Linked DNA regions of Astyanax mexicanus. The protein of the gene in region 2 purifies or fractionates together with the protein of the main gene of each other region. This does not show direct contact. Links are inferred from orthologs where the notes say so. Each region holds a gene or a part of one and is shown on either strand. Other genes may lie near its edges.

Region 1 (15,923 bases), on a different chromosome or scaffold from region 2:
TTATTTTAAAATACTACATCATTTACTCCTCATAAAATTTCAGACAAATAAACATTGGATTCTGTGCTGCACACTGCTTAATATTTCTGCTATATTGTCCTCCATATCACCAAGCCAACACATTCTGAGCACTAAATATATGAGAAACAGTGAAGAGGATTATTTTGCTACATTATGATGAACTCTCTCTCATCTAAATCTGAGCTGCATGGTGAGGGCAGTTACGCTGCATTAGGATTAACGGTCAGGAACAGGCTGTTTATTTGATAAGTGTTTCCTGCACTTCGCTCTCATTAATAAACGCAGGTACCTACAGATACAGATCCCTCAAAAATCAGCTTCCGCGGCGCGAGGCTAACGGTGCTAACTGAATCTGAACACACTGATGCTGCGCTGCGACGCTAAAGCTCAGGGTTTTATTTACAGCGTCGTTACGCCGCTCGTTCATCAGCGAGGAGACGAGGAGCTTTCCGAGCTGTGAGACCTGCAGCTCGCCATCAAACACCAACATCAACATTAACACCTCCACGATCGAATCATCTCTGACCCTAAACTATCACCATAAACTCATACGCCACACTTAGAAATACATAGTATATATAAAGCCCATTAAGAACAACAAACACAAAAAGTATGGGGAAAGTAAGTATTTGATATCCTGCTGATTTTGCATGTTTTTCCAACTATAAAGAATGAAGTGATCTGTAATATTTATCACACCTATCCAAGTAGAGACTTTCAGTATTAACTCCACTCGATATGTTTGGAAGAAGAAAAACAGTGCATAAAAACTAATTGGCAAAAACAAGTAAAAATATGTATAATCTGCCAATGGGGTAAGCAAATTTTTTTTTTAGTCAGATTTCTAAAAAAATAAAAAAAAGTCTCAAAATGAGTGATGTAACACTTAAGGCAAGCAAAAATCTGGCTTAAATTCGTACACAATTATCAGAATAACTTGACTGGTGACTTTTTGTGATTATTTTGAGTCAAATTACTTAAAATAATTAGAAAGAATTGAAAAGACTGAATCAGATTATAAACCATTCTTAAAATAAATAAAACAATCGTACACTTACACAATGCTTAGTAAGACCAAAAATGTTATCAGAGAAATAAATACGATATATTGCCTTAAAATCACATGATTTTACTGCAAAGTGGAGAGGATGCTTGCACCATATTGAAAGGAGGGTGGATGAAGTCATGTAGCAGAAGATTTTGTCCAATAACCTCCTTCTGTCAGTAAGGACATTGAAGAGATGTGCTGTTTGGGTCTTCCAGCATGACAATGACCCGAAAAACACAGTCATGGCAATTAAGGAGTGGCTAAGTAAAGCCCTATCTGGAAAGGATTCGTTTCTCAGGGGGACGTCCATGAAAAATATTTCACGATTCTACTCAGTGATAAAACTCCTGCATCCGGACTGCAATTGAAACATGTAACATGCAAATTAATTATTAAAAAAAATCATACAATGTGATTTTCTTGTTTCTCACAGTTGAAGTGAATTTACGGTAAATATTAAAGATCTCTCCGCTCTCTTTGTAGGTGGTAAAACGTGCAAAACCGTCAACGTATTAAATACTTATTTTCCGCGCTGTATATAATAATAATATATGTTTGCTCTGTATGTAAAAGTTGCTGTTTGAGTAATGCAGGCACGAGGGAAAATATCCAGGAATTAATTAATCATCTTAATTCGAGAAAAGGCTCGGTAAAGTAGAACCATAAAGCAGGAGGACGAGGAGCGGCATTAATCAGAGGCGCGGGAGGGATGCAGGCAGTCTGTCGCAGGCCTCTTAAATGAGCCCATCAATCAGGCTGCTCTCGCGCCTCTCGCGGCCGCGGGGAGCCGCCGCTGCCAGACAGCCGCCAATAATTAGCCATCATGCTTTACATGCGGCAGCGCAGGAGGTGCAGGAGCGAGGTGAGGGATTCTGGGGCAGGATCCCAGCGGCACAGCCCAGAACACACCCAACACACCAAACACACCAAACACACCAAACACACCAAACACACCAAACACACCAAACACACCAAACACACCAAACACACCAAACACACCAAACACACCAAACACACTGCCGCGGACTGATCTCACCAACGAGGAGCACAACACAACACCACTGGTAAACAACCGCTACTGAACCGAGACAACAGGAAAGCAGAATACAGAGGAGGAGAATGGTCATTCAGCAATATTATACTGGTTTTTCAATATACAGCTCTGTAAAAAATGAAGGTCGCACTTCAATTTCTGAATCAGTTTCTCTGATTTTACTATTTATAGGTTTATGTTTGAGTAAAATGAACATTGTTGTTTTATTCTATAAACTACAGACAACATTTCTCCCAAATTACAAATAAAAATATTCTCATTTAGAGCATTTATTTACAGAAAATGAGTTGCAGAAATGTTTTAAAAACATCTTGGCATCATGTTCTCCTCCTCCACCAGTCTTACACACTGCTTTTGGATAACTTTATGCTGCTTTACTCCTGGTGTAAAAATTCAAGCAGTTCAGTTTGGTGGTTTGATGGTTTGTGATCATCCATCTTCCTCTTGATTATATTCCAGAGTGTTCTCTTAATATATATATATAATTTTTTACTTAATTTTGTCCCATGTTTTCCCCCAATTTCGGAAAACCATATTCTCCACCCTTTCATTAGGATTTTCTCAATCACTAGTAATGTTCCCAAAACACCAGGAGGCTGCTTATACTTAAAATTTTCAATTGATTAAATTGGTTGTTCTGTCCTATTTATAACAGAACATATTTATAACTATTTTAATAAATTGTTACTTTTTAATTGTTTAATTGTTTGGTTTTATCTTTTACATTTTGCTAATTTATTTAATTAATTAATTTAATATAAAATAAAGCTGTATTTGTTGGTGTGAAAGGTGCTATATAAAAAAGGTTTATTATTATTAGAAGAGAGAAAGAGAGATGGATAGAAAGAGAGGGTGAGTGTGTGTGTGTGTGTGTGTGTGTGTGTGCTGGAGAGTCTCCTCTCACCTGAGTGACGGTCTGTTCTGTCAGAGGAACGTCGTCGCCCTGTAGGAGATCAGAGATGATGAGTTGTGGAATTCATCAGCTTCCAGTCGAGCTTCTTACTCATTTCTGTCCTCCGTCATGCTGTCTTATCTACTGAATACTTAAAATCAAATCTAGCAGCTCTACCAGCAGATATATTAATAATAATAATAATATTCCTCCACACCGCACTGTCAGAGAACTAACACTGATATACAGGAGCACGCAAAAGTTCAGACACAACCGTCAAAAACTTCAGAAAGCCTCTAAAAGGCATTTAGTTAAAGAGAAAACTTTGTTTCACCTGTTTTTCTAAAGAAGGATTAGAGTATTATTTTGATTTTATCCACAAAAATACTGTAAAAGAAACGACAGTTTAAAAGAAAGTGTGGAGGTCAAATATTGGCTTGGAAGACTGAGAAAACTTTCATGAAGAACTAATGCTAGAACTGTTTAAACAAAACTCTCCTTTAAAATGCAAAAATATCAGTTTTGAATTTGTGGTGCACTTTTCTACTGTGCAGCAAAACCTGCACAAACACAACATACAGCAAAGACTCATAAGAAAAACTAACCACACCATTGAAACTAGACTGATCCATTTTTTTTTTTTTAACAAATCCTGTTGACTGATTAAGAAGAGTTTAGAGAGTGCTGAATATCTTTGAAACATAAACTCTCAAAAAAAAAAAAAAACTGTTAAGCATGGGGGTGGATGATTCATGCTTCGGAACTGCAGTGTTGCAGAATGGGCAAAAAATCATCCAAACAAACAATGAGAACCAAAACCTGGCTACCAAAACTGGGGGCTACTCCTTGTACTTATTTACTTGTGAAACTGTAAAATTATAAAGCTGTTTAATTTTACACCTTATTTGCTTGATTATAACCAGTAACACACATTTTAAACGGACGCCCAGGTTTTTGCAGGCCACTGTACATAAATGTTTTAGATAGGAATAGTAATAATATCACAGTTACCCTCAGAGCCACTCTGTGGACCACCTGCTGCGGGTCACTTTCCAGGATCACACTGTCAGAAACAGACAGACAGAGACAGGTTAAATACAGCACTCAAATACAGCAGAAAAAAACATTTTAGTACCTGTTTACATTAATTAATCTGATTACATTTTTAATCGATCAACACCACTACTTTTTAGATTTATTAAAGTTATATTTGGCTGATATTAATGTTTTTTGATCATTTAAAATAATGTAAGTGTGACAAAAATGCATTTTCACACCACCTTTCAATAATATTTAATATCTCTGATTCTGACAAAAACACACTTACCCTCCATCTACAATCTCATCCACAGCCAGGAATAAACCCTCCATATTTTCGAGTAAGGCCCTCTTCTCCACATTTTTCCTGTAAAGAAAAGAATTATTATTACAATTAAAATTTAACTGAGAAAGCTCAAATTACAGAATCTACAAAAATACAGCTCTGGAAAGATTTAGAGGCCTCAGTTTATCTGATTTTGCTATTTATAGGTTTATGTTTGAGTAAAATGAACATTGTTGTTTATTCTATAAACTACAGACAACATTTCTCCCAAATTACAAATAAAAATATTCTCATTTAGAGCATTTATTTACACAAATATGGTAATAATGCAAAAAAATAAAATCATATTCATAAAGTTTTAAATAAAAGTTCAGAAATTAATATTTGGTGGAATAATCCTGGTTGGTTTTTAATCACAGTTTTAATTTCATGCATCTTGGCATCATGTTCTCCTCCACCAGTCTTACACACTGCTTTTGGATAACTTTATGCTGCTTTACTCCTGGTGTAAAAATTCAAGCAGTTCAGTTTGGTGGTTTGATGGTTTGTGATCATCCATCTTCCTCTTGATTATATTCCAGAGGTTTTTAATTTGGTAAAATCAAAGAAACTCATCATTTTTAAGTGAAAATTTTTTTTTTTTTCCCAGAGCTGTATATCACAGAGAATTATTTCATACCTCAACATCTGACTCAAGGAGTCAAACAGGCAGTTCAGCACTGACATGAGCATCAGCTGTATGGAAAAATTTAATACAAATTAATAAACTGATTGATGTGTTTATTAGACAAATAAATAAGAATAAGTTTAAGCTAAAAGAATCAGGTTTGAGCTGTTACCTCGTTCTCATGTGAGCTCCCGATTACATAGAAGTACAGATCTATGTTGCTCTTATAAACAACAGTAAGGCCTTCAAGCAGAGCGATTTCACCTGTTAAAGAGAAAAATCAAATCAAGATAATTATAAAACTGTGAAAACTTCAGAACAAATAAACCGTGTAGTAAATAAACGTAAAAAAACTGTCTTACTGTCTGTTCTGTGCGTCTTGTTGAAGATGTTCTTCTCAAAGGCCTTTTGTTCTTTAACTGTGGGGTAGGTGTCGTCATAATACTGAAACAGAGGTTAATCAGAGAGACGTTATAAATAAAACGTACAGATAAAACCATCACAATCCTTTAAAACAGCTCTGTTACTCAGATTTACAGTTTCTTGAATTTCTAAAGTGTGTATACCCTTGAATGTATTCACATTTTGTTACCCAACAACAACAAACCATACAAAATAAATAAAGTAAGCTATTTTATTGAGATTTTAAGTGAAAGAGCAACACAACAAGTAGCACATAATTGTAAAGTGGACTAAAAATTACTTCACAATTTTAATCAAATAAAAATCTGAAATCATGTTTATCCCTTTATCCCATATAAAATAAAATGATAAAATCCAGTGCAAACAATTAAGTGATTACCTTAAAAAAAATCTCCAAATTAGTTAAAAGGTCTCATTACATCGTTATTTCATTTCTTGTGTCTCTAGTATGAATGAATACCATGTGAGCTATTTTTTGTGGAAAAAAAAAAAAAGTGCTCCGGTGATCCGGTATAACACTGCTTTAGTCCGGTGGAAGAGTGGGCGGGAAAAGAACGATAGGATTACAGCCCTTGCTTATGAATATTCATACATGCAAACATCACCTCTGATTGGCAAAGTGCATCGGACAACAGTTAGAAACGTCTTTACAATGTCACATGTTACTTTAAAACATGTGTAATAATGCCCTGCTAAGTGCAGTTCAGCCACTGACCTAGTCTTAGTCTCTGTAAAACACCAAATCCACCGGAGATCCTATTTAAACCTATAGTTACTTACACACAGAGGTGGATAACAGAGTCCAGGTCCGGAAAGTAAAAATCCATCAGGGAATTTTACTTTTAACTAGTGTAAACAGAACTGTTCTAAACACCTCTCAATTGTACTTGGCTGGTGGTGTTTTTTCCTCCATAGACTAATTCTAACCATTTGTTTCTTAGCTCTGAATTACTGGGTAAAGTATATAAAACACTGATGTGTTATTCGCACAAACAACACAGGAATGAACTGCATGCTGCCTGTGGGCGGTCCCGAGCCAAAAAAAAAATAAATACAATCAGAAAGGAGTGAGGACTGGAGTATTATTACTATTATTATTTATCTTACCTTAGCATAGAGTCTTTCTCCATCATTGTCCATGATAAGAACTGCTTTTACGGTGTACAGAGAGGGCTCCTGAAACAGCAGCACATGAATCACGCGAGTTAATCAGTAAACAGATTTATGAGTTAATCTAATCTACACTCGCGTACACCAACGTATTAACAGGCAAAGGTTGTGCTGAGAATTAGGCAGCAGGAATGTTAAATAAAATTAAAGTGAAACATGAAACAATATTTTAGAAAAGTAAGAATAATTGATAGAAAACGCATAGAAAATAATTAGCGTTTATGCATTACAGATTAAAGATTCTATCTGCAAAATTGTGAAAATTAAATCCAGATTTAAGAAAGTAAAATGGCAATACTGTCACAGTCAACAAATTTTCTTTATTATGAATTTTAAAGAGCAAATCTCATAGAAAACAATGTTTTCCTCACTTTAAATAAAAAGTTAGTTTTTTTATTTAATTATTTAATACCCAGTCCATGTATTCAACTTATATAAAAGTCAATAAGGAGCATAAGTTTTATACACTCATTATATTTACCCTAACTTCCAAGCTAAAAATACTAATTACAGATTTTTAGTAATATAAGCACACATAGATAATTAACTAGATATGGATGCAAACGGCTTTAAACTAGCTAAGCTAACTAATGTTAGCATGTCTGCCTCAAAACAGCTTTAAAAAAAAAAAAATGTGTGTGCATTTAAGAAAATAAAGCTTTCCTCTCAGTAAAGCTTCAGAAAGAGAGAATAATAAGTGTAAAAACTAAGTTTTGGGGTTTTAGAATTAGAGGATTATCAGTGAAGGTTAAGAAAGAGAGAATAATACTTTTATAAAGTTATTTTGGGTGTTTTTTAGAGGATAATCAGTAAAAGCTAGTTAGTTAGCTCTGCTGCTGCTGTTGTAGTAAAACACTGTTATTATTAATATTAAACTCCACAGCAGCGATTGCTGAAGCTCCAGTTCTCACAGTAAGAGATAATACAGCTCAGATAATATTAATAAATACAGTATTGTAATAATTATACCAGTATTAGCGGCTCCATCCTCGCGGTTAATCAGCGGAGCTCCTGCCGATCCCAGTGCTGTCCACTTCCGGCTGTGACTGAACCGGAAGTGACCTTGCGTTTCACTTCAAAATACAGGTCCGTCCAAAATATCCCTAATACGATGGCGTATGAAAACAGTACACTTCAAGATTAAAGTCATAATAAGTTTGTAATATTACGAGATTAAAGTACTACAAACATAAATCTGTAAAATATTACGAGATTAAAGTCATTATATTACGAGAATAAAGTAGTAATATTGCGGTAAGGTTAAAATCGTAGCATTACTAGATAAAAGTAGTAATATTACAAGATTAAAATTATAGTATTACGAGAATGAACTTGTAATATTATGAGATTAAAGTTGTAATATTAAGAGAATAAAATCTTAATATTATGAGATTAATGTCATAATATTAAAGGCTATTATTTGGTTTGGTTTGATCATCCTTAATGTGGTTACCCTTGTAAAAGAAAAAAAATATATATATATACATATATATATATATATATATATATATATATATATATATATATATATATATATATATATATTAATATGTATTTAAATACACACTAAATGTACTATTTTGGAACAACTTATGGCAACTTAAATATATTTCAATTGCAATTAAAATATATTTAAATACAACATAAAAGCATTAGGTTGTGCTTTTGAGTGCTTTTTTGTATAACTTCTGTGAACTTAAGTAGATTTATAGCTTGTGTTTTTTTAAACATCATGTTCAATACACTTAATGTATATTGTAAATACACTTTATACAACTTGAAAAAAAAAACTATAAACTATAGTGCACAGTAATTAATGCCACTAAACATTTTTTTTTCAACACAACATTTAATTTAAAGCATATTGCTTAAAAAATGCATTTTATGGAAATACAGAGAAGGTATATTAAATAGAAAATGCAGAGCCTAATCTGAACATACATTTAATGCTCTTAAGGATACTTAATTTATTTACAAGGGTAAAGTTACACATTTGCATACATTTTCTTTAGTTTATTTACCTATTTAAATCTTCATTAAATAAATCCCAGAGTTCTAGTCTGAACGTTACTGTGTTCAGTGCACTCCTGACCTTCCTGTGCCGCTGTGTATAACTGAGCCTGGATTCCAGCCTGTCTTGCCTTTATTGAAACTTTCCATTTTGTCATGCTGAATTCAAAACCAATAGGCCATTCTATCACAAAAATAGGCCCACTTCCTTGCCTACAGTACCCTCAGTATTTACTGGAATGTTTCTGCACAGGCGTTGTCATGCACTGAGGTCTGTAGAGGAGCCAACCAGTATCTGACCTTCCCCTGTCAATTACAGCTCATCCATATACTGCCTATTCTCTTCTTCACCATATTCACCATGTACACATACAGCTCTGGAAAAAATAAGAAAGCACTTAAAAATGATGATTTTCTATGATTTTACCAAATTGAAAACCTCTGGAATATAATCAAGAGGAAGATGGATGATCACAAACCATCAAACCACCAAACTGAACTGCTTGAATTTTTACACCAGGAGTAAAGCAGCATAAAGTTATCCAAAAGCAGTGTGTAAGACTGGTGGAGGAGAACATGATGCTGAGATGCATGAAAAAAAAAAAAAACTGTGATTAAAAACCAACCAGGGTTATTCCACCAAATATTGATTTCTGAATTTTCATTTTCTGTAAATAAATGCTCTAAATAAGAATATTTTTATTTGGAATTTGGGAGAAATGTTGTCTGTAGTTTATAGAATAAAACAACAATGTTCATTTTACTCAAATATAAACCTATAAATAGTAAAATCAGAGAAACTGATTCAGAAACTGAATTGGTGTTTTTTCTGTAGTTCTGATCTGTAGTTTAAGGACACTATTATTATATTTAAATACACAATTTTTTCACAAGGGTTTAACTTAATGTATATATTTACAGTATTTTACTGCGATGAATTACTCAACATGGCTGTATTGTATTTGAAGTTTAAAAAATGTAAAACTATTTTTGAATTGTTATTTAAAACAATATCTCCACAATCTTATTTAATGTACTTCCGAGTGCTTTTGTGGGCCGATCTCTTTAAATAGCACCACCATGAGTGTCTGATCTAATTTGGTTTTAATTTGGGTCGTAATCCAGTGATTTGAGGTTAGTTTTATGAGGCACAGGCCTCAATGACACGAGTCTTCTGTAAAACAGTAAACAGCTTATGATACGTCTGCTTTAATTTAACAGATCCTCCTACAGGCGGCCGTCATCGTCCTCATGGCACGGGTCTGGTCACTTCTTCTGGGAAGCACCACTGTGAAAACCCGAGCTCCGAGGGGATTTTCCCTGCTCACTCCTCCTGCACACACACTGACATCAGAGTCCTCTCAGCTCCTGCTCTCAGCCCTTTTGGTTTCAAACACGGCGTCCAAGATCTGCTCCCAGGCCTGCAGAGGGTCATTTATACCATATCAGGAAAACCAGACTGTAGAGTTGTGTATTTAACATGTTAACTTTATTTTAGGGATTGTTTTTCATTTATTCACAGTTACAAACATGCACAGCAAAATAAACAGTGTTAAACTTTAGAGGAGTTACCTGGGTATGTACAGGACCATCTAAAAAAATTAGAATATCTTTGAAAAGTTGCTTTATTTCAGTAATTCAGTTGAAAATGTGAAACTCATATATTATATACATGTATTAAACAGAGTGATCTATTTTAATAATTTATTTATTTTATTATTGATGATTATGATGATTATGAAGCTTACAGCCAATAAAAAAACCCAAAATCAGTGTCAATCAATATAATAAGACCAATTGGTACTTTTGTTTGGCAGTGTGGGCAGTGTGCCAAGTCCTGCTGGAAAATGAAATCCACACCTTCATAAAAGTTGTTATCAGCAGAGGGAAGCTGTAAGATATGAAGTGCTGTAAGATTTTGTGGGAAAACAAAACTGCACTGACTTTAGACTTGATAATAAAACACAGTGGATCAACACCAGCAGATGACAGACATGACTCTCCAAACAAACCATCACTGATCATCAGTAAATTTTACATTTCATTTAAAGTAAATCAAGGGAGTCTGGAGGAAGGAAAATAAGTTTCTTACTGAAAAATAAATACTGTAAACTATTTTTTCTAGATCTTCAAACTTTATATTTGCATATTTTCTGACCTTCCCCTGAAACTATATAGCTAACTAGAGTATCTATAAAACATTATAAAATGTAAACTATACCACACAAAAAATTACTTTTTTTTTTATCTTTTCTAAGCTTTAGAACCTGAGAGATCATCTTGTGTGGATACCCTTATCCACCATTCATAAAAATGCTCAAGTATGTGTGTATGGGTTATTTGGAAGAGGCAGTGGGTGATGTATGGGTTTAGGGGCGGGGCAGGAGGGAGATCTGACTGGGCTGAGCAGTGTGCCTCTGTAGCAGTACAAACAAACAAAATATATACAGAACATTGATGTTATATCCATCGACTTACACCCTAAATTAAACAGCATTAATAAGTAGCTGTGGAATAAAGGAGTTAAAATTGTAAAATAAAGTAAATACAGGGTCTGAAAGGGTTAAGGAGTTCCTCCACAGTTTTAAATAGAAGAACTCCTGAAACTTCCTGCAGGAAGGTATTATTTTAGAAGTGAGAGTGAGAGAATACAGCATTTCCACCCTGTACACAGTTTTAATTGTGTTAGTAGGGTTTTAGGAGAAGTCTGTGGAGATTGTTCTAAAGCCTCTGGCAGCAGCAGAGCGGCTCACCAGCGCGTTTCACAATCCAGCTCTGGGTTTTCACAAGGTTACCGCGAAGTGCATTTCGAAATCATCCTTTAGTGCTGTAGAGGACACAATACGAGCTGGATGTGCCTGATGAAGCGATAAACTATCTTTCTGATACACGTCGCAGCATCACTGTCAAGAGTGCACATGCATTTATATTTTTAATAGTGAGGTTAATATCAATATAAAATAATATACAGCTCTGGAAAAAATGAAGAGAGCACTTCAGTTTCTGAATCAGTTTCTCTGATTTTGCTATTTATAGGTTTATGTTTGAGTAAAATGAACATTGTTGTTTTATTCTATAAACTACAGACAACATGTCTCCCAAATTCCAAAGAAAGAGAAATCAATATTTGGTGGAATAATCCTGGTTTTTAATCACATTTTTTTATGCATCTTGGCATCATGTTCTCCTCCTCCACCAGTCTTACACACTGCTTTTGGATAACTTTATGCTGCTTTACTCCTGGTGTAAAAATTCAAGCAGTTCAGTTTGGTGGTTTGATGGTTTGTGATCATCCATCTTCCTCTTGATTATATTCCAGAGGTTTTTAATTTGGTAAAATCAAAGAAACTCATCATTTTTAAGCCGTAGCAGTAAGTATTAGGATGTACTCTGAATTAGTATTAATACACATATAGAGGAATACTATGTTATCCTTTAAAAAAAATTAAATATTTAAAATATAATAATTTAAATTAGCTATTTCCATTTAAAAAAATAATATATATATATTTTTCTAGGGAATAAAGACACTTTCTGCATGTTCAGCTATTAATCATATTAAATTCACCTCATATTTCTCATATTTAAAACAGAACAAGCTCACCCTGAACAATTTAAAGTATCTGTAACTTAGTAACTAAGTAAACCATGATTTCATGAAAAGGCCTTTTTTTGGTAAAATTGTCCACACTGTAGTGCAACTTACCATCACATATTTTTTTTATTCAAATTTTCTGTTGCATATTATAATGTTAGCACTGTTGCAGAAGCTGAAATCGCTCCAGCTCTTTATGAAACGTGTAGAGACCATGCTGACCACGTCTCCCAACCCCACACTTTACCCAACAACGTATTTTACATTTTGTTTCTTGTTTGATTCTGCATAACATCCTGAGTAACGCAAGTCACGTGTAGTCAAGTCAGTCTCTTTAGCTTCTTAGCCAATTATCCAACCTACTTATAGGACTCCCCCTCGGAGGAAAGCACCTACAGCGACTCGGTTCTGATACATCAGCTCACAGATGCAGCCTTGTGCTGATCCACATCACCCTAGGAGTGATGAGGAGGGGAAAGAGAAGAGCGCCATCTACTGTACTGTACCCACCCAGAGAGAGAGCAAGACAAACTGTGCTCTCCCGGGGCTCCAGCAGCTGATGGCAAGCTGCATGAGTGGGATTCATGGGAACATAGTTGCTCCAAATCTTTAATTTATGCACAAAAAATCTAAAAAAGAGCTAAAAGTGAAGGTCTGGAGATTGTTCTCGATGTGACGTTTTTTTTTTTTTTTTTTACATCTGGAGACTGTCACTGTTGTTTCTCAGCATGAAGATCAAAGTCGTGTCAATTTTTGAGAAACAATACTGCAAGTAAATCATCCAGAGACCCCGCCAAAACATTAGTGCCACGGTGCACGGTTTGGTTCACTGTTAACAAGCGAGAATGCGTTGGTGAACTTTGTGAAAAAACACAAAGACCCGGTAGACCGCAGGAGACCACAGTAAAACAACACCAAGAAATATTTTAAATACTTCAATCGTGAGGAAAAACTGCTGAACTGCTGAACGGCCTCAGTAAAGACGTGCAAAAGAGAGGAACACCCTTCAGTTTTCTCTCTGAGTTTAGAGGATCTGGAGGCGAAGCTTCAAAGAGTTCACCACAAAAAATTCAGACCACCAGGAAGAACCAAGGAGCCTGGTTCCATTTCGTAAAGAAATGAGTAGAACTGTCCGTTGACTGTCATTGGCTGGTGTAGCGCAGTGGAAAACACCACTGCATGCCATTGAGCTACCATATTATATAGGAGACTGGGGTTCAATTCCTAATCTGGGTGACTGAATGCTGCTCTACACCAATACGTTTTTGAGTCCTTGGGCAAGACTCCCAACACTACATTAACCCACGTCAGCAAAAATGTTATAAATGTAAATGTAATGTAATGATAAAATATAATAACTAATTATTATTTTTTAATGATTAATATAATGTACATTCTCCTTCTTAACACTGAAACTTTTAATAGTGGATATTTCAAATGTGAAATGAATAAATCAACGTAATAGTCAAACACAAATAAAGTTTGGACACACTTTAAATTCAGTGGTTTGTCATTAATAATAAAAAAAAAAAATCTGAATTGTAGATTCTAATATTTTGTAATAGAGGGCTTCAAGTGGATCACTGGTTCGAATCCCAGCCATGCAGCTTGCCATCAGCTGCCAAAGTCCTGAGAGAGCACAATTGACCCTGCTAAACTACAGACAACATTTCTTCCAAATTCCAAATAAAATTTTTGTCATTTAGAGCATTTATTTGCAGAAAATGAGAAATGGCTTAAATAACAAAAAAAATATGCAGAGCTTTCAGACTGCATCTTGGCATCATGTTCTCCTCCACCAGCCTTACACACTGCTTTTGGATAACTGTGGATAACTTTATGCCACCCTATTATTGAATCCACAACAGTACAGTCCCAGACCTGCTTTCTTAATCTTTGTAAATTATAAATATTATACTAATATTAACAAAGCAGTTGTTTCTCAAGCTTGACTTTCACCTGTTGCTGATTATGATTTACATTGTATTTGTGCAAATGAAGATGACACACCACAATTAATCACCAGATGATTTTAATCTCGGTCTGTGACATCTGTTAACTAAAACTAATGGAGAAATGACAGTGAGAGAGAAGAAGGGACGGCAGTGATGAGTAATTGATGTACTAGTGAAGGACGATGTGACTAATGTCCTCAGATGTAAGAAGGTAAAACGTGCAAAACTGTGGTGACATTTAGTGAAAGTGCAAAAAGTGCGTCAACGTCTTTCTCAAGTTAAAGTGGAAGATCAGAACTGAAAAACACACTTTGAAAAGTTTCAGCAACAGTCCCTAATCCTTTAGTTTAATGACACTTTACAATAAGGGTCACAAATAACAGTACTTATAACAGAGTAATAAATAATAAACACTGTTAAATGGTTGAGTAATGTCTAAATTGGTACTAGTTAAGAGGTTATTAAGCATGAATAAATTTGAATGCTTTATAATGGTATGAATAATAAATGGAAAATTGCAACATCAGATATATTAATATATTTAGAGTGGAATCTGTTGGGTTTTTTTGGGATATAATTGACTTTGCATTTTGACAGTATTTCTTAAATGATCTTCCACATACAGCTCTGGAAAAAATAAGAAAGCACATAAAAATGATGAGTTTCTTTGATTTTACCAAATTAAAAACCTCTGGAATATAATCAAGAGGAAGATGGATGATCACAAACCATCAAACCACCAAACTGAACTGCTTGAATTTATACACCAGGAGTAAAGCAGCATAAAGTTATCCAAAAGCAGTGTGTAAGACTGGTGGAGGAGAACATGATGCCAAGATGCATGAAAAAAAAACTGTGATTAAAAACCAGGATTATTCCACCAAATATTGATTATTTCTGAACTCTTAAAACTTTATGAATATGATCTTAATGTTTTCTTTGCATTATTTGAGGTCTGAAAGCTCTGTGTATTTTTTGTTATTTCAGTAATTTCTCATTTTCTGCAAATAAATGCTCTAAATTTTAAAAGATATGAACGTGCCAAAGTCAGAGCACATCTGGCTCTTAAATGGAATGACAACTGGCACAGTGATTGGTTTATTTTATGTTTTGCCCAAAATTAATCGCATACATGATTAATTAAGACAATTAGTACATGCCTTTTGCACGTTTTGCAAAAACGATTTCGAGCTGCACAATGAGTATTTTTTTTTTAGCCCTTGCAATACCGAAGACACACGACATGCTTTAAATGCTTTGGATCCGCTATAGATTATTAAAATATGGCTCCAGGACTTTCTGCAGCTCTATAGAAAATTCAGAGTGCACCTTTAATGAACTTTGCATTAAACTATCAGTGAACGGTTGGTGACACTGCTTCACTTCTAAGAAGCTGCAGTTAAGAGGAATCCATTTCAGAAGAATGTTTGTCACGGTGCAGAGCGTTGTACCTGCTAGACTCTGAATGAGGAACCTGTACCCGCAGTCTTATTGCGTACAGTAACTGTGTCTCAATAGCAGCCAAGATAAAATGAACTGATAAAGAGAAACCTTTCGAAATGCCTCATCTTTATCTCTTCATACACAACCGTGTACAGTACTGTAGGACCTGGTCTGAACGGTCAGGTTAACAGGAAGTCCTAGCTTCCATCTGATCACTCTCAGCACAGCGCTGATGGACGGTACTGTATGTGGAATATAGTAGAAATATAGTGGAAATAAAGTGTTGCACTGTGTGTGGTCAGTATATTTTTATACTGTGCT
Region 2 (15,311 bases):
ACTTATTGTATGAGACCTATAGAAGTCTAGGCCAGTGGTTTCCAGCACAAGGTCTGGTCAGGTTATTTATAGCTGGGCTAAGTTGGGTTCAGCTGGCTGAGGAGACCTCAGACGTCTGGAATAAAATATCTGTGTTATACTATACTGCCCTCTAATGTTGATTAATATTAACACTGTATTAAACTTCTTATACACATTTATTCACCACCATAAACGGTTTCTTTACCCTTTCAGACACTGCGTCCATTACAAAAGTCATCATGTTTTTTCTTCTTTCTTCTTTTTTTTAATGTTCCATCACAATAGATAATTTACATGCCAATTAAAATGTTAACCAGCCAATGAAGCAATAGCTTGCCAATAGGAACCTTAGCTAAGAAGGAATTGTAAGCATTCATTTTTATACATTTTATGTAATTTAGGACACTTTATTTTAGCAAGTTTATTTTATGGCTTAATCATGGTTTGTGAACTAAAAGGGCTATATCAGTTATAAAATGACAATGTTAAACTCAGGCTTCCAATGCAATGGGCATGTTAATGTTAAATATGAGATTATTTATGAGAAAATCAGGTCTAAAGGGGTTAAAGTCTATTTTTAATACCACACTTCCTTCAAGCTCACTGGACAAATAACACATTTTTGGGAGACACACAACGCATCACATAATAACAGATTTATTAAACAAGTGTACAGGAATGCTTATGGAAATTATGAAGGAGTTTTAACATATTGCAAACAATAAAAAAAACAAACCATGTGTTATAGTGATCACTGCTTTCAGCCCATATCAGAAGAGAGAGAACGACGCCTGGTTTTCAGGCACTGGGAGCGTACTGCATGGCGAGTCTGTCGAATTCGTTCTCCTGAAAGGACACAGAATTATTATAAAATCAATTATAGTGGCACAAAAAGCAGAAAAAAACAAAAGCAGGAACAAAATCATGACCATTAGCATACTATTATAATCAGGCTCATCACGAAGGTAAAACTGGAGGTCATTACTCTTAATCACTGCAATAATTAAAAATCCAGCTCACGCTTTCATTCAGTTCTGTAATCAGTTTTTAATGACTCCCACACTCCAGTTATTAGAGGGATCTGTAGGGGTTAAAACACTTACCTTAACGAGATAATCCTTAATGAAAGGATGAGATTTGTGGGCATCTTTCTGCTGGGATAAGTAGCGATTTGTAACCTGTAGAGACACAAGAAGAAAAACAAGAAGGAAAGATGTTTACTACAGGTGTCGTCTTGATCTAGAGAAAGTTAGCCAGGAAGTGCAAACTGTGCAAACTGTGCAAACTGATCAACAATTGAATATATAGAATATGTAAGTAGAGAAAATGTTTTATCAGTATGTATTACTATCAATATCACTATTTTAAATGCTGGAGTCACATGAGGGAAGCATTAAGTCCACTGACTTTAGACTAATAGAACACAGTGGATCAACACCAGCAGATGACAGACATGTCTCTCCAAACCATCACTGATCATCAGTAAATTTTACATTTCATTTAAAGTAAATCAAGGGAGCAGAGTCTGGAGGAAGAGTGGAGAGACACACAGTCCAAACTGCTCGAGGTCTAGTGTGAAGTTTCCACCTATCAGTGATGCACTTCATGCTTCCCTTTGCTGACAGCTTTTAAGGACATGCGGATTTCATTTTCCAGCAGAACTTATTTTTCCATATTTCATGGCACAACCACTACGTAATGTTGCATTAAGAAGGTATCTTAGAGGATGGGTTTTATTCACTATCATATTACACTTCAAAACAACAAAAGGCTAAATGCCTTATTTTTCACTTTTATATTATTTATATTATTTATCGCTTTAGAAGTTAACTAAGTTAAGTAAAGTTAAGCTAGGTAAACAAAACTGTAATAAAAAAAAATATATTTTAAAGTCGAAGAGTGCTCGATGTTAATCTACAAAGATTTCTCTCCTGAAAACTGTTTATTTGAGTGAGTAAAGCGCTTCCGTTTATTTACAGTAAGATTAGATTACCAAATTTCTTCAGCATTAAGGACAGCAAAAGAGCTAGCGCTGTGGTTAGCGGGCAATGCTAATGCTGCTCCAGCAGTGCTAGCCATGGTTAGGAGCAGGCTACAGGCCGATAAAACTCAACTCTGAACGTGACATAGCGGTTTGCGGCTAATGCTAATGTTACTTCAGCCCCGGTGCTGGAGAACTAAATTGAAACTCCTGTATAACTCTGTACTTCAGCAGAAAAATAAAATAAAATAAAATTCATACATAAGGCGCACCAGATTATAAAGTATGCTGATGATTTTTGGAAAAATGAAAAGATTTTAGTACGCCTTTTAATGCGAAAAATACAATAGTAAATAGTGTTTAGGACATGGCAGTAACACACACACACACACACACACTGACCTCGGGAGGCTTGCCCAGGTGTTGTGTCAACACAATCAGGTTGACGAGTGTCTCAGGGTGGCCGCTGTCCTGTAACAGAATCGAAAAGAACACAATAGAGTGAATAAACAGGCAATAAGGATCTTCTCACAGATAACTGGGTAACTGGGCTATTTAGGCTGTAAAAACAGATAGCGAAAGAAAGAGTAATCCTAGATTCTGACACTGAATTCCTTTTTTTAAGCCAGAACTGTTCATGAATAATGTTCATTTACTGATTTATTCTAAAGTGAAACACACTGCTGATTCTGATTTGTAAATGTCCTGTACTGTATTTCATTGGTACAGAGTTTTATGTGGACATCATTTTAAAACATCTATTAAATCAGAATATTTACGACATCAATCCCATATGTGGTTTAGATTTTTTGGACAAAGACTAAAGAGTGCAGCCTGAACAGAAAACACTTTATTAACTTAACTAACACTTAATTAAAGCATAAATAATGTATAGCAGTAACGACTCCTAATTTAAAATGGGCTTCAATGATTAGAAGACTGAAGCTCAAAGGCATTTTCTCACTTTGTCCAGCGCGTCCTGCAGGACAGACTCAGCCTCGTCCCATTTGTTCTGGGCCATGTGGCAGGCAGCCTGACCATTCAGCAAGATTAGAGTGGGAGAGTATTTATCAGACATCTCCTGGAAGATGTAGAAAGCGTCCTGCAGCTTCTCTCCTCCCTGTCGAACAAGGAAAACACAATAAGAGACACGAGAAAGAAGCAGCATTTAACAGAACGGTCTCGTGTAGACTGCCCTAAAGCCATGACCGGATTCTCCGGACATACTCTGCAGTACAGTGCAGTATACAAAAAAACTGTAAACTATTATGAAGTTAAAAGAAATACAAACAACACAGACACTCACCACAGAAAGGTTGACCCAGGCAGTGGCCAGCTGAGTTAGTGTAGCATCTTCATCCTGTTCCTGCATCTTCTTTAGCTCTTTCCTACACAGTTAACAAATCAACACATGAGCAACAGCAGGTGTGAACTTTCACTTCTGCCCACTAAAAACCACTAAATCAAATTCAGGGATAAAAACACTGGGCTTAATTGCACTGGTGTTGTCATTATGTAAAGAGTTCCCAAACAGATGTACAATATAATGAATAAGAAACCCATTTTACACCATTTGTGAAGAACAACAAAATGTAGTATCTGTAATAATAATCTTTAATGGCATTTCAATAAAAAAAGACATATATATATATATAAATGAAAACATTTTTACTCTTGTGGTTAAATGTTTATTCTATATCCTTACAGGATTGGTCAAAATAAGCATGACTTGTCAAATACAGCTAATTACAAGCCTCTTTGTCCCACCCACAGTGCAGGATTGGTTGAAACCTGGCTCACGTGTTGAACAAGATGCCTGTTTTTCCTAATATTGTATTTTTGTAATTGCTTAAATCAGTATTATACAAGAATATGTCATTTTTATCCCTGGGCTCCCCCTACAGTCAGGGAGCTGAATATAACTTATGCTTTACTTCATTACAGTCAATGTGCCAAATAACAGAAGCTGATACTTAACATATAATTAATATGTAAATTTGTTTTAAACAAACTTAATTATGAATCACATCCATATTGCACAGCCCAACATTCTTTCACACACCACACAAAGAAAACATCACAGCATACCTTGCCATGTCAACTCTGTCCAGCTTCAGAAGTACCTGGACGGTCATCGCCATGCTAAAACAAAGAAACAAAAAAATCTAAATAAATAAATAAAACAAGACAAAGCTGAATCAAATGTTGGATTCTTCACCGCACTGACCACTCGAGGCTCTCTCCCTGGTGAAGTGTTCGCAGGGCAGCGTCTGTGTTCATCTCGTGCAGGTAGATGGAGGCGGCCATCAGCAGGAAGGTGGTGTTTGAGACGTCCACACTTTGACTCATCTTCTTATCCAGCTCAGCCACGATTGAATCCCTGCACACAGTTTTATTACAAAGAAAAAGTGTGTTTTAATATAAAGCATAAATAATAAGGGATTAACATGTACATTCATTATGATGGGTTTCAGTAAATCACATTCTGGGTGCTGACCTTTTGCCCTCATTAGACAGATAGTCTGCAAACATACGGACAGCTTTCAGATCCTCAGAGGAACTCTGCTTTATGTCATCCAGCACCACTCCATACTTTCTCTGCAGGAAAAAACAACAAATATCACTTTAAATATTCTGGTTTTAGATGGTCTACGCTGGTTTTCACTGGTCATGGTGGTTGAAGTGTTGGTCGACCTGTATAAATACATGCAAATGTTCCAAATGTGATCTGGTTGCACAGTTTAGCTCCTGACCAGCATGACATACATTTGAGTCTTTTTTTTTTGTGTGTCTGGTCAAATGCGCCGACCAGTTGAGGTCAAGAGGTTGAGCTGGACCATCAGCATGACCATCCAAGCTAACTAGTCTGTTCATTAGACATATTGGTCTGCCAGTTTGGCTGTACAGGATGATTAGCCTCATCAGGACAGTCATACTATTAAACTAGCTAGTTGACTAGCTTAGCTATTGACCAGCATGGTGTATGTTTTTATTTTATGGATTAGCTGGTCAAGGTAGACTTTCAAGGCTTTGTTAGTCACACTTGCAAAGCAAATTTGTCTGTAGTAAATTAACAAAATTTACATTTTAACACCCACATTGTTACTTTAACACTAACTCTGTTTTACTGTGTTTATTTTGAAGTAAATAAGGCATGAGGAAAATTCACAGTGGATATGATGTGAGACCAACTGAGGGACTAGTTTAGATTAGCCTACTAAAGCATACCTTATATTTTTATTGGGTCTAATGGAGCATAACCCAATTGAACGAGCTTATCATACTGGTCAATCAACAGGTATGCTAACAACCAGCAAGGTGAAGCCAGCCTTTCTGGTAAACCAGCTCAACCATCACACACAAAACACACAAAAGCAAACCAGTTCAGCTGGACAGTAGGAGTATGTCATATGTATCGCACACTTTTATTTTTTTGTTTGCTTGCCTTTAATGCAACAAATATTTATGCTGCACTAATTTTGTTAAATATTTTTGTTGTTTATTTATGTTATTTATTATTTTACAATATTTTTATTTTATATCAATTAAGGGTCTAACTTAATACAATTTAATATTTATTTTGCTGCTGTAGTATAGTCTTTAAAAAAAATATAACACCAATCCCTACTGAGCAGTTAATTTATTTTCACCAGGGACAGGTCTTACTGGTGCACATATTGGGCTATATGATGCAAATAATAAAAAAAAAAGCAATAGACAAGAAAAAAGTGGAGCTGCATGGCGTGTAACTAACATAACCTACCTGTGCTATGTACGCCCTGTAGAGGAAAATGTCCTTCTCCAACTCCTTGTCTGGTCCTGAAGCCTGTAAAATCGATATATGAGCATTACAGTGGGGCATAAACAGAGAATCGAGGCCTGAGAATCTAACTGTGGAGTAAATTACACTAACAGATGTGGGTCAAGTAATAAGTTAGTTTTGTAAAATAATGAGTACAATGAGCACAAAAGTATAAATTCCTGTATAAACAACACTTCTCAAAAGGTAACATTAGAAACAGCTAACAGACAGTCCATATGGCCATTTACAGCTCAAATATCTGAAACATTTATAACGTTCCCTGTAAAATATATATGGTAAAGTATACATAAAGTATATATAAATATATACAGTAAAGCAGCAGCAGCTGACTGGTGTTGTTTTCTATGCTAAGCTAAGCTAACAGCAGTTAGCCGGCTGACAGCCTCCCTAAACCCGCCTCTAACTGAAGCCCTGCTCCCCTGTAAACCCAGTAAAAGCGCTGTAGAATCTCCTCATACCTTCACTTTCTGAGCTTCATTAATACAGTGCTGATAGCTGCCGATATAAAAGGCGTTTTTCACGTCGAATAACTCGTCCACTTCTCCCTGCTGCGCCGCCATGATGCTTCTGAACACCAGTACACGTCACTTCAGCGGCCACATCATCCAGGTCGGCTGCAGGAAGAGTGGGCGGGGCGACGAGCGACGGTCTTATTTCTCATTGGCTGACGAGTCTGTCAATCTCACTCGCACTCATCCATTCATTTTATTAGAAACACTAAAGCTAACTACAAACACTAGAGGAATTTAAAAAGACTCTAAAAAGACTTTAATAGACTAAAATCTGACACTCTTTCACATCTAAAGACAAGTCACAGACATTTTAGTCACAGACTAAGATTTTACAAAAACTGGTAATCTTGCAAGACTGCAACTAGATTCTTTCTCATCCAGGCCCTTCTGATAAATAGTGTATTTAAATATATAATAATAGTGCACTTAAACTGTTATGGAAGGCAAATCCTGCTAAAAATAAGACTGAAGTAAAAATACTCAAATTAAAACGCAAATACTGTTTTGCGCTTTCTTTTTTTCCAAACATGTGTGAAAATATTAGAAAAAAAAATAAAATACAAAAATAAAATAAAAATTACTTTTATTAATTAAATTTTGCCTTTTTAATTTTAATTTACAAGCTTATTGTGAAAAATAAAAGCTTCACTTTGGCCTTTCCTTTTCTTGATGAACTGCATAATAAATGGCAAAACTAAAATCTAAATGCACTGGTAACATTTTTATTTATTTTTCCTTGCAATAGGCTGCATGTCTGACAATTAAAATAAAAACACAAAATGGAAAAATCAATAGCAAAGTAACAGTTTGTGATTTAGTTTGTAGAGTGAGTGGCGCTTTAAGTGTCAACATAAAAGGGAAATACAAAGAAAGATTAGCGCTATCTGCTGGTGATTTACTATTCATTGATTCATTTCCCACTTTTTCCCACAGTAGGCGGGGCTACAACCACAGAACCGGTAAGTATAAGCTTACCATTTCTCATGAACACTCCTGTTGTTTAATTGTGCAAAAAGTAAAAGTTTAAAAAATCAGTTCTGTTCAGCTGAACAACTCTTGAAAGCACACAGACCCACAAACACAGGCTAAAGACACATCAGGTGTTTGTCTATACAGGGATTTTATTGCTCATCATAGATGTGTGGAAAGCAGTTCTTCCAGTTTAGAGATGAGGGTGTAATTTAGCAGAGCACACGGGACGGCCCGCACAAAACTAGCCCCCATCCCACTGTAGAAACCTCTCAGCCCGTTCTTCTCATAGATCCCAACCAGTCCATGAAATATATGTGAGGAATTCTGGCAGTTTGATGTAAAAGCTGGAAGAGAGACATGTAACAATATAACAGTTATATTGACAATAAAATAGTCTAAAATATTATATATTATTATATATAATAACTGATGTAATAATTCAGTAATTAATAAGAAGCATACTGTATTTCATAAGAGCTGCATTACATCACTTATTTTACAAAAATGATTATATAATATATTATTTCGTAATGATTAATAAGGCAATAATTAGGCATACAAAAAATTTAGTAGGGTAAAATGTTTTTTCTGGTTTGTTCGGCAGCACAGTATCAGTAATTATAAAAAGCCCCACTGTTTTATACCCCTCACCTTGCGCTTGATGCTGGGTTCTAATGACGGCCAGAGGGTAGCTGCTGGCCTGTCCACACGCGAACGCCACAAAGCTGAAGAACAGCAGTTTGATGTCACTGCGGTTGGCAGGGTTTCGTCTGGCCCAGCTCATTATCGACTGTTAGGACAAACGATGAGGTATGAGCTATTTTTCTTATAACTGTTGTAGTTAAGTATGTTTAAGCATGTTCATGTACAGTAGGGGCAGCAGATGGTAAGAGTATATATTAATAAAGGCACAAATTAACCCTGTGAACACATTGAGGCTATCAGTATAGGCCTTAGCATAACGTATGATCATATATTATTATGAATATGGCCCCTGGTTTGATTTACCTGATGAACAGCACACTCCACTCCAGCATATGGGATCATGCAGAGCAGACTTGGTCTGAAACCTCTGTAGAAAGCTGTCACAGACTCGTTGCTGTAAATGGACTTTGCACATCCCAGGAGTCCGCTGTAGTTACCGGCCTGCTGCAGATTCAGCCTCACCTTCAGAACCTGCGATTGAGAAGCAGAAAACACAGTCCAGTTACTGGTCTTAATGACTTTTTGTTTCTAGTAGAACCAAACCTACCTTTTAACTCAAATGAGCAAAGACTTCTGCTGGCCCCCAGACAAAAACTAGTTGTGAACTGTGTAAGAGGCCGTTTAAATTCTGTGATGGTCAATACAGGAAAGAACAACAACACTTTTTTCAGAATCCACCTTAAGGGGGCTCCTCCCACTATTTACTGACAGTAGTATACAACCAGACTGGAACATGTTCAGCAGTATCCATGCACACCAGCTGTTCACTGTCTTTAACACTAGAACGGATAGAGCTAACGACTAACTGACATTAGTTTCACACACCAAAACCTCAAACTATTTGCTAATAATTAATTAACTTCACATGTCTTTACTCATCTTAATTTTATTTTTAACTGAACTGAGTTTTATATGGTTATATTTGTAGCCACAATCTGTCTGAACTCTGAGAAAGAGACGAGACGCAGCACATTTTGCCTCAATCTTGGTCAAACAACGATAAAACATTTCAGTAAAGATGGTGGTTATAATGTGTTTTATATCATTTGCACAGAAAGGAGAAAGCTTCCTGGGAGTGCTCAGACCTGTGATGTATCTGTGATACCTCTAGGGGGTAAAATGCTGCGTGTGCTACAGCTCCAGACACACAGCCCAGTCCGAAACGCTGCTCCACAGACAGGTGATCTCTCTCGCCCAGGGTCTGCTTCCTCATCTGGGAAACAGACAGAAAGCAGTTTGTAGGATTTGATTGGGAACTGCTCTAATTAATGTGATTATAAACAAGACCTGTGATTTTATTCCAGTATGAATCTGCAGCTTAAAGTGTAGATCATTAAGTGATTCAATTCAAAAATGAGTTTTATGCGTGTTTGACAATAATAATTATCTATTACCTATTAGACACTTTTGCAGAGATAATATATTACAGTGTTGATTTCCAGTAGTTTCTACAGTCTGACAGTGTATAGATTGATAGGTATATTTTAATAACTAGAGAGTGATTTTAACTCAGTATAAAAAGATGGAACATGTGAAACAAGGTTATATTTATACACCTGGGTATACAGGAAACACTGCAGTGTGGACTGTGGTGTTCCTTTAAGCACATTAACAGCATTTCCCTGCCACATGGACCTCAAGCCTCCAGTTCTCAGATCTTGCAAACCCAAAGACACAGCCTTGGAGCCATAAACCTAGAAAACAAGGGAAGGAACATCTATAAAACATCTATAAAAGCTGAACAAAGTTGTCCACAGTTTAAATATTATAAAAAAAGATTTAAAAAATCTGTCAATCAACTAGAAAATGTAATCAGATTAATCACAACAATATTCTGTGATTAGCTGTGATTAATCGCATTTGTTCTTCTTAAGGGGCAAGTTTTACAGTGGATATTTAAATGTAAATAAAAGAATGAATGTAAAACATGTAAAATGCAATTATATTTAGTTTTAGTGGTCTCAATTAAAATACTGGTGTATATTTCTATGTTTGAGGGGAGATTAAAAAAAACAACGTGGGGTGCCGGAATAAAGAATGCATGATAAATATAGATAGAGGAAACTTTTTTTTACTTTATTGTAAACATCTCAGCTTGTTTGAGCTGAAATACCTGTAGCTGAGTCTTTAATCGGTCAATGGGAGCCGTCACAGTTCTGGAAACAGCGTCAGACAGACCTGCAGCCAGGATGAAGTTCCTCCACTCGGACAGATCCGTCTCCGCCTGAGTGAGCTCTATAGGCATGGATCGACTCTCACCAACGTCAAACACCTGCAGATGGAAGCAGCAAGGAAAGGTGATGATTTAGGAATTCTGTAATTAAATAGTAATAGTAAATTTATACTAAATTAACTGATAAGTAAATCTTAAGTAGAACTGTTTTATGCATTACAAATTTTATTTATCATATATATGCTATAGTATGACAGGGTTCTTTTTTATTGGATTACAAGTCCAGGCAGTAATAAGTGTGCTCTTTACCAGTGTGTGCTTCCATGAGGATATAAGCTCTCTGATATTTTCTGCTGGGTTGATGATCACATGTTGCAGGAATTCCCCCCAATCCACAGTCATGGAGCTGTCCTCATCCATCCTAATAATGAACAGAAAAAGAATTAACAGAGTTAACAGAGAACCATCTCTGTTTATACCCAATCCCAGCAGTACAGACAGCAATATGATCATATGATGTACATGATGATGATATATAAAGTATATGTAGCCAATTAAAATGTTAATTAGCAATTGTAAAAAAGAAAAAAAGGCAAATTTCATGCATCTTGGCATGTTCTCCTCCACCAGTCTTACACACTGATTTTGGATAACTTTATGCCTTAACTCCTGGTGCAAAAAAAATTCAAGAGGTTTTCAACTTGGTAAAATCAAAGAAACTCATTGTTTTCAAATGAAATGGTCTCTTATTTTGTCCAGAGCTGTATATATACATATAAATATCTTTTACTTTATATTTTACCACAGTTAGTTCCGACCCTGCAATGTGATTGGCTGAGAGATGTTCTGTGAGTTATCATTATCAGCCAGTAATGCACTGTAACCGAAGCACTCCATGTATGACTCCGCCACATACAGGTATCCTAGCAATAATGCAGCGCTTACAAGCCAAACAGCGCAGCTTAGATACAGAGTATCAGTATCTAAAGTTAGTGGGTATAAAGCATGCAGTGATGATCCTGGCCTTTCTGTTAAAGCAAATAAGGCTTTTCCTCCTTCCTCCTCCTTCAGTAAATATCAGTGGGAAAATGTTTCATTCCCAGTAGGTCTATTCCCTCTGAAAAGACCATGATCATCACGATTATTAAATCAGGGGGTTTGGATGCATTCAGCATAACCAGTAGCAGCAGGTCTTACATCTGGATGATTCTCTTTGCGCTCTGCTTTGATATGACCACACCTAATTCCTTAAACACATTTACGATATCCTCCTGGTCAATGACTCCTAATCAGAAGAGAAATCAATGTAAACACAATATATTTAATAAAAACAGTGCATCAACCAACCAAAAATATACTATTAAAGCGCTCAGCTCACGGCTAAACAATGCATCTGATGTCTGCTTCTTTACTTTATAACTGGAGATGCTAGGCTAACAGGTTTGCTAACAAAACTGGTGACAGTCCAAGTGCAGTGTTTGTTAGTATTACTTTGTCTGGCAGCTAATGAAGCACACTAAAGATATAAAACCTGTCTTAAATGATTAACTGCCTCTGAACTCAATTTTTACTTGATTTACTAATTTAGCGAAATATTTGAGGAATGCACACCACGGTTGTTCTTATCAAGGTTCTGAAAGTCAATCTTCCACTTCTTTTCTTGGTCCATTATATAGTTCAGGAACTCCTCGTAATTAAGTCGTCCATCCTGATCACGGTCACTGTTGCTCACGATGATCTGAAAAGAAAAAACAAGATTTCTCACATTTTTACAAGCATCATTTCATTTAACAGTAAAGCACAGTATAGTATATCAAGTATAGTATAACAAGTGATAGTAAAAGGAATATTCTTCATAGGATTGTAGAGTATGTTACAGGAAGATATGATGCAGTATTGTTATGAGCTATAGTTTAGTAATTCAAAATAAAATTATAGTATTAAGTGTGGTAAGCTGATTATATGGTAAATTACATTACATTTGGCAGACGCTTTTGTCCAAAGCAACTTACAATAGTCAAGTACAAGTAATAGGAATTAAGATAAACCATTTTTAGATAGGGCTTAAAGGAGGTCGAAGGGAAATAAAGGGATAGAGAAGTGAAGGAGGGGAAGAAGGAAATGAGGTTAGAAATACTGAAAGGTAAAATATAACAGCTATACAAGCTATAGTAATAAGCTATAGTATAGTCTTTCAACATAATTGCATTACTGACTTATCATACAATAAACAGACATGACCTCAATAATTTTGATAACTGTGATATCATCTAGTATATATAGTACAGTATATAGTATTGTTTATAGTATAGTATAGTATATATGTATATCCATAGAAAGAATATAGTATAAAGCATAAAGTACAGTGTAGTACAGTTGTGTACAGTATAATAAAGTACAGTATAGTGCAATATAGTATTGTGCATTATAGTACGATACAGTATTGTGTATATCTGGATGCAGGTCAGGCTGTTGTTGTTGTTGGTGGTGTGTGTGTGTGTGTGTGTGTGTAGGAGGATGTTAGCCTGTAAGAGAGACTCACCCGGGCTTTCTCTTCACCACACACCACCCCAACCCTCCTCATCTCCTCCTGCAGCTCCTCCACCGAGATAAACCCATCCCTGTTCCGGTCCAGCTTACAGAACAAGCTCTCAAACTGCTCCATCACCTCCTGATCCACTGATCCACACTCACAGCTACAGCTACAGTCTGCTAACAGAGCTGCAGCATCAGCATCAGCACCAGCATCAGCACCAGACCCACGTGAGCCTCCATTCATCCCTTTAACTAAAAGGAACAGTACACAGGATTACATGATTATAGAAAGAGACATTCAGCTTTATAAATCAGTGTAGTTTATAATTAATGACCTGGTTTATTTAGTTAACATATTGAATTAATAAACTGGATTGAGTAACAATAAACTATGTAAATGTTGTGTTTTATAAATAAGGTATGTATAGTGTAATATTTAAAATATATTCATTATATTCGATATGACTAGATTTGTGCTTATACATACACATATACATTACCAATCAAAAGTTTGGACACAACTCTTCTCATTCTCATTCTTCTAATTTCCTATTTTATGATTTTTTACTATTTAAATGTAATACTAAAAAACTATATTAAAGCTATTAATAATTAAAGAAGTTATTTATGAAACAAAAAATTGCTAAACAAACCAAGAAAATGTTTTTTTTTTTTATTAAGAAATTTTGTGTTGTTTTAATACCAATAAAATATGAAAAAACGAAATTCTGACTGCAAACTAAACAGGTTTGCATTGCAGAAATAAAACGTTGTCTGTCTTTTGTCTTTCTCTTTATTAAACTCTTGAATAATTAGTTTCATAATCCAGTTTTTTTTTGTCTCTTTTCTATAATCAGCAGGATGGCTGGATGCTGTCTGCCTCTGCAGGTAAAACGCTGAGTCATGGGAGATTTCACCCACTGGAGTTCCTGCAGTTCCGCTTATTGACCAGCAGGCGCCGCCAAAAATCTTATAAAAAAGCTTATAATAGTCTAATAAAATGTATGTAAGTTTATGTTGCATTAATTATTTTTTTTTTTATTATTTAAATAATAGTGATCAAGCTTACAAAGTACAAAAGATTCTTATAGATTCTTGTAGATCTATTATTGTTAAAGCAAAACACTATTTTACCTATATGAGAATCTAATGCTTTAAGATCAGGCAACTGCTGATCAATATAAATATGCTGACAGTAAATAATTCAGATTTAAGAGGAGGCAGGAGGAGACTTGTAAAATGACTCACCATACACTTTAAAAACACCTACCCTATACTCACTTTTACTTTATCAGCTCCACCTACTGAAGAGTCCCACTGAATAGATCATGTAAAGCAACACTATTCCAAATATGTGCCCATAAACATATCATTATTAAATTAATGTCCCAGGCCTGTTGCAACAAGAAAACCAAACCAACCAATTGGCTTGTGACCCGAGCAAGCCTGGGGCCCACCAGCCAATGAATTTACTGCTAAGATAAACTTTAAATTAGCTTTCAATTAGCTGTCAATGCAGGGAAGTACAGTGGTATTAAAAAAAGTTTGGGCACCCCTGATCCTTTTTTATGATTTTCCTTTATAAATCATTGGTTGTTAGGATCAGCAATTTCAGTTAAATATATCATACAGCAGATGAACACAGTGATGTATTTCGATAATTCAAATGAAGTTTATAGGATTATTAATTATTTAAACAAAATTAGGCAGGCACATAATTTAGGGAACCCAGACAGAAAAGTGACATATTTTACAATATTTAGTAGATCCTCCTTTTGAAGAAATATAACAGCCTTTAAAAGCTTCCTATAGCTTCCAATGAGAGTCTGGCTTCTGGTTTAAGGTATTTTGGATCATTCTTCTTTACAAAACATTCAAAACATCTCCAGTTCATTGTACTTGTTCCTCTGCATGAATGCTTTAGTAGATTTTGAGCAGTGTGTTTAGTGTTCAGGGTCGTTGTCTTGTTGAAGGATCCAGGCCCGGCTCTTCGCTTTAACTTCAACTTCAACTTTCTCACTGATTCTTCAACATTTTTCTGAAGAATCTGCTTATACTGACTGGAATCCATGAGACCCTCAACTTTAACAAGATTCCCAGTACCTGCACTGATCACACAGCCCCACAGCATCAAACCAAGAACAGCTCTGTAAAAGACTGACTGGCTCTATTTAGCACCATTAGGGGTATTAATAGTGCTGATAGTTCAGTGGACTTTCCGTCCCTGAAGGGTGGGCTGGTGGGGGGATTCTGTCTTTTAATATCACAGATATCTAACTTGCTATTTATAGGGAATGATCTGTAGTAGCCTACATCTGTGGCAGCTTTGTTTCCGGCTAAGTGACGCAGAAAGCCAAGAAGCCCCCTAGGTCCACAGCGTTGGTTAGCTAGCTAGCAGGCTAAAACCACTGTTTTTTGGAGTTTTCGATGGGTTGTAAGCTGCCTGGGGAGACATAAAACTTCAAAAAGTGTACCACTAACACCTCCTGAAATCCGTCATGATGTTTTAGAGATGTTCTGGCTCTGTTGTTTACATGTCACTATTTGGCACGTGTGAAAAATTGCATAACTGACTATTCACTGGCTGCC

The links.
Region 1: the proteins of cope (region 2) and copz1 purify together in Homo sapiens (affinity purification with mass spectrometry; 3 studies listed by BioGRID and IntAct, with this or other methods). This does not show direct contact. The link is inferred for Astyanax mexicanus from reciprocal best matches to the Homo sapiens genes COPE and COPZ1.

Annotation. Positions count from the first base shown.
Region 1 is NC_064420.1:848,718-864,640, forward strand, and holds the start of copz1 (coatomer subunit zeta-1), read right to left. Parts: upstream 7,676-15,923; 5' UTR 7,587-7,675; coding exon 7,569-7,586; intron 6,606-7,568; coding exon 6,537-6,605; intron 5,451-6,536; coding exon 5,369-5,450; intron 5,271-5,368; coding exon 5,179-5,270; intron 5,075-5,178; coding exon 5,019-5,074; intron 4,421-5,018; coding exon 4,343-4,420; intron 4,079-4,342; coding exon 4,027-4,078; intron 3,067-4,026; coding exon 3,028-3,066; intron 1-3,027. UniProt on the Homo sapiens protein: The coatomer is a cytosolic protein complex that binds to dilysine motifs and reversibly associates with Golgi non-clathrin-coated vesicles, which further mediate biosynthetic protein transport from the ER, via the Golgi up to the trans Golgi network.
Region 2 is NC_064415.1:56,237,182-56,252,492, forward strand, and holds cope (coatomer subunit epsilon), read right to left. Parts: upstream 6,426-15,311; 5' UTR 6,386-6,425; coding exon 6,284-6,385; intron 5,829-6,283; coding exon 5,766-5,828; intron 4,601-5,765; coding exon 4,500-4,600; intron 4,383-4,499; coding exon 4,230-4,382; intron 4,145-4,229; coding exon 4,091-4,144; intron 3,391-4,090; coding exon 3,309-3,390; intron 3,123-3,308; coding exon 2,967-3,122; intron 2,474-2,966; coding exon 2,405-2,473; intron 1,200-2,404; coding exon 1,125-1,199; intron 868-1,124; coding exon 820-867; 3' UTR 663-819; downstream 1-662. Other genes in the region: slc25a24l (solute carrier family 25 member 24, like), read right to left, coding at 7,469-7,653, 7,961-8,099, 8,318-8,485, 9,120-9,227, 9,571-9,708, 10,128-10,286, 10,497-10,608, 11,385-11,472 and 2 more. UniProt on the Homo sapiens protein: The coatomer is a cytosolic protein complex that binds to dilysine motifs and reversibly associates with Golgi non-clathrin-coated vesicles, which further mediate biosynthetic protein transport from the ER, via the Golgi up to the trans Golgi network.